Tribolium castaneum: one gene and its partner. The protein of the gene in region 1 interacts with the protein of each later gene in a pairwise test. Links are inferred from orthologs where the notes say so. Each region holds a gene or a part of one and is shown on either strand. Other genes may lie near its edges. The genes, in order: hth and uncharacterized protein LOC659152.

The links.
Region 2: the proteins of hth (region 1) and uncharacterized protein LOC659152 interact in a two-hybrid assay, tested with the Drosophila melanogaster proteins (2 studies listed by BioGRID). The link is inferred for Tribolium castaneum from reciprocal best matches to the Drosophila melanogaster genes hth and Cpr100A.

The regions. Positions count from the first base shown.
Region 1 is NC_087396.1:11,399,900-11,403,731, reverse strand, and holds part of hth (homothorax), read left to right. Parts: intron 1-1,027; coding exon 1,028-1,222; intron 1,223-3,832. UniProt on the Drosophila melanogaster protein: All isoforms are required for patterning of the embryonic cuticle. Acts with exd to delimit the eye field and prevent inappropriate eye development.
Region 2 is NC_087397.1:3,976,367-3,979,275, forward strand, and holds uncharacterized protein LOC659152, read left to right. Parts: upstream 1-1,462; 5' UTR 1,463-1,599; coding exon 1,600-1,611; intron 1,612-1,661; coding exon 1,662-2,240; 3' UTR 2,241-2,332; downstream 2,333-2,909.

The DNA of each region.
Region 1 (3,832 bases):
CGGTCCATCTCTCTCGCAGCGTTGCGATATTATAATCTTGTTGCAAGGTAAATGCACATAACCGGTTACCCCAGACAGACGACGTCTTTGCCGGCCATCTTGAAACGCGGACGAATGCAAACGAGCGAGCGAGGTGGGTCCCCGAGGCAACCCCTGTATACAACCCATATCTAATCTATGTACAGCGGATCCTAATTTACGGCCTTATTCCATGTCATTAAGAGCATACGGGACGGACACGTTTTTAGGAACTTCGGACCCGACTTATCTCCGCGGACCGATAAGGAAATGTGCCTCTGGACACCTAACTTTGCCGACCAACAAAATCATAACGCTCGCTCTATGCCCATTGGGCAACACGAAAAAACCTGCCCATTATTTAGACCACTATCGTGGCTCTAGAATAAATGTACCACCAACGAGCACGTGTAGATGGCACTGAGCATTCAAATCACAACATTATGTTCGTTCCATTTGAGTTAAGTGCTGTCCGAATATGCAAAAGCAAACATAATCCCATTATTATTATTGTATTTGTGCATACAGCACTGCACCCTAAACGAAACCGGTCGCTGTAGGGAGAAAAATATCGCCCATTGTGTTTCTGTTATGCAGTTTACTCTCTTTTTTAAACACCATCGTGGTACCAAAAAAGGAAAATGTAACAACAACAACAAAATAAAATCTTTCTCTGCCCTTATTCACTCTGCCCGAATATCCCATTGGGATTTGCGATATACCTGTAGTGAAAACACTTGGTCGCTGGAGTGTGTAAAAGTAGGATGGGTCTGTTTGGACCATTAATCTTGCGTTTATTAACAAACGCATTCAGAATTAGTAGTGTGTGTTCGTTCTTTCGGAACGGTTTTTGGAAAAGAGGCAAAGCACGCTCGAAGGCCGCTCGTCTCGCTATGCAAATCAGTTTCATCTCGCTTTCATACGATGTGCCCGGCCGTTATTCTTGACCGGCTTTTTTGCGATATGTAAATCGACGTCGAGCCCGAGCTGATTGTTCTTTGTGTTGCAGGTCCATGAGTTGTGTGATAATTTCTGCCATCGGTATATCAGTTGTCTGAAAGGCAAAATGCCCATCGACTTGGTGATAGACGAGAGGGACGGAGGCAAGCCGCCCGAATTGACGGGATCGACGAATGGAGATGGTGGTGCTAGGAGTAACGCGGATTCGACATCACACACGGACGGTGCGAGTACGCCGGATGTCGTAAGTACCCATTTTTCCCAATCAAAACCATTCGCGAAGAGGTCGAAGACGTTCGTCCATTTGATCGACGTCGGGCGCGACGGCAGGGGACCGCCATTGAGTGTATTAGCTCATTTTCGTGATGCTGTTTGCGAAAGCAGGGGGAGCTCAAAGCAGGGAGTTTTGCTGGTAATTGGTGTCAATTTAGACTGACGCATCGTCGATGCGAACGAGGGATCGAGTTACATGTCCCCCCCGCATTGTGGTCTACAATCGGCTTCTTTTCGACTTGAATAAATCGCTACAGTGCTGTTCGATTCCTTTTGGACTACCTGTGACCGGAGCGAACCGCGGGGAGTATCAGACCGACAAAATAAAATCATCGTGAACAACACGGATGAGAAATGTGGCGTCTCGGTGTCGCTCCACCAGATGCTTATCGACTTTGGAAATTTCAGAGTTGTCGAATTTCGGCGCTGAGAACTCCCTGACAGCAACTATCCGAATTGCGTCTCCACTTCGGCTATTCTCAGATTGTTCAGAGGCGGGGCGACCGAACAATATCTTTTTGTTTCTCCGTTATGCGATGCATCGTGTCTTGTTGTATCATGTCGGACAATTAAGATGTGAGATTTGATTTCAAGGAAGCGATACGTCGAAGACGGGTTAGATTGTTTTGTTCGAGGTGTGACGAGGCAAAAGAGTGTCGCGCCGCTGAGGGTGTAAAAATAGCGAATGTACGGTATGCGGCTGGTGAGTGAAAGCCAGGTTGTGGTTTGGAAGGCGCTCAAAATGAGAATACTTCATAGCACGGATGGCACCGTGCTGCCAATAACGTCTCACGAGCACGGTTGTCGTCTGAGCGGGGTATAATTAACGCGGTATTTATAGTGCAAGGGCAACGATCAAGCGTGTATCATCGGTCGAAGAGCACGGCAGTTTTGACGGCATCTGCGAATTCCCGCCACAAGCGTCTCCCGCCGTATCGCCGTTTCCTTTCCTTCCTGATACAATTTGCATCGTCTCGGAATCACTTAGACGGAGGAAGGCGTCCCCGTGCGATGCTCTACGCGCCGCTTTTATTGGGGCATTATCATTTTATTGACTTCAAATAGCTTGTAAAACGCAGAGCTGCGATTCGAGAGCGAGAGCGGGAAGCGATTCCCTCGAAACGGCCTAATTCAGGAGACACTGATGGCTTGTAATCGCCCAAAGAGTTTCCCTTTCGCAAACAGGTGGATTTGTTCAATTTATTATGCGGCCGCAACCTGATACAGCTGCCGTTCCCGTCAAATACATACATCTAGGCGGAATTTTTCTCGGTCGATCAATGCTGCTGGGGGTGTTTTCGCGGCAAATGGCCACGACCCGACTGAGTTATGTGTTGCCGAGCCAGCAGAAGGAAGAGGCCGAGACGGCGGCGGGTCCATCTATCAATCCCGGTCCTTGGCAGGATTGTTTCCTGCTGCATCAAACTAATGGTCCCAGTGGCAAAAGTAAACTTCGCACGAGAAACAGTTTAATGGAATCCAGGGCCGCGGGGACCATTAAAATGAAATAGTGCGCGCGGACCGAACGGACGCCGTTCTTCTCTTCCCACCCGCCGGAATCAATCTCTCCTAAGCAGAACGGATGGTTATTGTTTGCTCCATCGAGTAACGGCCCATTAGCCCGCCGACTTCGCCCTTAATGGACCGTGATGACGGACCACTGATATTGCGATCGAATATTATGCAGGTGTCGCCAAATACCTGCTCGGTTCAGGCAAGGAGACATATATCAAGATGCAAGCGCCGCGACGCTGTCGCGAGAACGCCGGCTTGCCGCCAATAAATCACCACGACAAATTTAATTATCCTGCAGTCTGCGATAAGACCAGCCGGGTAGAGACTTGTCCTACACAGAGGAAACAGTCGTAACCCGATACGTCCTATTGAAATCAAGGTACACACACGAGATCAGCGAGCCGGCGGCTGTGTTACACCCTTCGGGAAGGGAGTGCGTGCGTGTGCGTGCGTTGGTTCCTGTCAAGGAGAGATGTCTTCAGCAGGCGAGCTTTGGCCGGCCACCGCACGTTGTTTTTGTTTGAACGTCACTGCCAGATGTTCGCAATTTGGTGGTGGTTATTATTTGTTTGTACTCCCCCATTGCATCGCGCACTCATTCAACTTACTTCTGCACGCTCCTCCAAAAGCCAACGTTAAATAACCGATGTTGTGGCTTGACGACAATCCCTTTCATGACCAACAAAAGGGTTTTTACCCTTCACGAGTCTTAATCAAAGTTAAAACACCGTTTTTATTTTTGCTTTATATTTAATTGCGCATCAAATTGGAACGCATAACGAGCGCATCACCGAAATTGATTTTCCTGTCGACAAAGAATAATTTCTGGCAAGAACTAGCACCAGGAATTTCGCAATTTCGCTCGGAATCTTCCCAGCGGGGCGCCTTCTGCTGCTGACGTTCACTGCAGGAGTTGACCTTTTTGCTCGGGGAAAGTATCCGTCTTTGTGTGCGCTCTATCCTGCTGGAGATGCACCGGAATCGTAGTTTACATGCGCGTCTATCGTTCAGCTGATTCAATTACCATATGGAGTTGACGTCATCACTCATAGTTTGACAGGCAAGG
Region 2 (2,909 bases), on another chromosome or scaffold:
GACGCAAATGAAAATCATTTACGAAACACTACATAGACATTGTCTCTTTCAAAATCTAGCATTTAAAGCCAAAAACGAAACGTAACATTACTAAAGATCTCATTTAAATTATTTACACTCTTTTATTGTACGCCCATTATTTAAAATAAAGAGAATAGTAAATGCCAAGCGTGTTTGCAAAAGTTTTGGTGCATTTACAAAAAATATGGAAAAAAATTACCTTCAAAAACCAACCTGAACAAACCGTGAGATATATTTGATTTTTACAACATATGACACTAATTGAACAAACATTTATTCCACTATTTCTGTCACACAATAAACGCAATATTTGTGTGCGTGTGCTCACCTTTAACCTCCAGTCAAGCCCCCAGTAATCATTTTTCTAAATTCTTCTTTAAATATCTTATCGCTACGTATTCAATTAGAGACATAAAAATTTTAATTACAATTATTTACAACACAATAAATTCACTTCATTCGAGTATTTCGTGTAATGCCAAGAAAATAATACAGTAATTTTGCATAAATCATTTGCAAACTGGTGTAATAAAATTTTCAGAATGCTCATCTTCCATTTATTCTAAGAAACAACACGTTTTCTGAACTTCTATTTTCCGATTCGACGACTCGTGTGCACTTTATTATTTTCGTGAAATGCCAATAAATTACATCAAACAATAATAAAGACGAAGCTGCATTTAGATATCGCGCTATTATTACCGAAGCAACAAAATTCTAAGTGTAACATTTGTTATTTACACTACACCGAGTGCAGAAACATAAATTTCTGTGCAGATGAGAGCATCACGACATCGAGTTCAATCGTGACCCGATTATATAAGCGCATCCCGATCTTATCGTTACTTAAACGCAATAATAGTCACGTATTTTTCGCGCAAACAGGGCCGAATTGACTATTCCTGCTGGGCGTGATCGCCCGGATTCTGGGCCACCGGATTACCTTCCTGTTTGCTGACCCTCAACCAGGTCAATAGACTGTTCACCGGAACCTGCTGATGCGAGTTCGCATATTTCTTGCGTAAACACAGCGAGAAATTGTTATTTTTCGTCAGAACAACTGACATTTCAACAAGGTTCATGCAACAAGAGTGTGACGCTATGCTCGCTCCAAGCCTGAAGAGTTGCAAATGCCCTCAAACTTTAGGAAGTCCGCGCCAGGAGTGATCTAATTAGCACATATTTCACATGCGGTCGCGTGAAATTAATCAATTCTGGCGCAATCATTTCAGTGACGAAAGTTTGGAAAATGAGGCCGAAGACTTTGGGACTTTGGAAAAATTTTGATTAGCCCAAGCCATTTTTTTGATGTCATTAAGATTAAAACGTGCATGATTTGCATGCAAATGGTGGATGAGTGGGTTTAACTGATCGTTTCAAAGTTTGGGCTTTGACTTCATCTCTCCGAATCTCGGAATCGCGCGGTGGCATCTAAATATGAACAAAGCTCAGTTCTTCACAGGGAGTGTTCCAGGGTCGCACTTACCAAGGTTGTATGGCAGTATAAAACCTAACAGAGCGCCGTGAGAGGGCAGTAGTCGTAGTTTGCCTCTTTGGTAGACCATCAGTTCCACTATCATGAACAGAATAGTGAGTATCAAAAATTTGGGTGGACCCTAAGTGTTTTTCCAAAATTTTAGTTCGTCTTTGCTGCTTTTGTGGGCGCTGTTTTCGGACAGGGCTACCATGGGGACCCCCAAACTGCGGCTATCCTGAACGAACAGAGGTACCTGAGTGGTGATGGTAAATTCGGGGCCCAGTACTCCCAAGAGGATGGGGTGCAGTTCAAGGAGGAGAGTGACGCTGATGGCACCCGTCGGGGGACCTACTCCTACGTGGACCCCAACGGCCAAAGACACACCGTGAGCTACACTGCTGGCAAGCACGGCTTCCAAGCCACTGGGGATGGCATCCCCCAACCCTTACCGACGACCTTACCCGTGGCCCCCCAGCCCCAGTACACCCCCCTTCCCCAGTACAACCCCCCGGAGTACCGCGACCAGTACCAGCCCCAGTACAGGCCGCAGCCCCAGTACCAGCCCCAGCCCCAGTACCAACCCCAACCCCAGTACAACCCCCAGCAGTACCAAGCCCAGCCACAATACAGGCCCCAGCCCGTCTACACGACGACTCCAGCCCCTCACAGATTTTACCCTCCTGGAAAACTGTCGCTTAATAGGTCGCCAGATGGCTTCAGTTATAGTTTCCAGAAGGCTTAAGTCGTAGTTAGGGATCATTGTCGCGTAGCTTAGGTTCACAAGTGTCCATTAATGTATTATATTCATAATAAAATTTTTATTTAAATGTTGAATATTGTTTGCTTGGCAACGAGACAAAGAAATGAAAGTGCAGTAAAGTAGCCTTGAAGGTACCTGCTCTTGTTAAAGTTGGATTTGCATCATAAGGTTAAATATATGGGCTGGTTCCGGATTTACGAGAGTCTAGACGGAAATGCCGAAAATGAACACTTAATTATTTCTCAAGCAAAATTATGCCGGATCTTGCGACAATAATTTCGTCCCAGATTGGGAAATTAAAAAATTGCACACTGCTAATAGTGTTTGGTATTTATTTCCGTTTTTTTCCCCAACATTCTCTTGCCCACCTTATCTAATCAATCTAAATATAATACAGTCACTAAAGGTTAAAAGGATTTTTATTCAAAATACTGAGAATGTAACCTTTAAAAATCGAAATGATCTTGAACCTGAAATAAGAGTACGGCAGTAAGGTGTGGTTCCTCTTAAAATACAGTTTTAAGAACAAGTTTATTTCAATGTGAAATGACATACGTGGTGTTTTGCCATTGCCAAAACAGTAATGTGTTTGATACGAGAATTACCTTTTTTGTTTAAATTAATTAGCCATTTTGAGAAATTTCGTATACA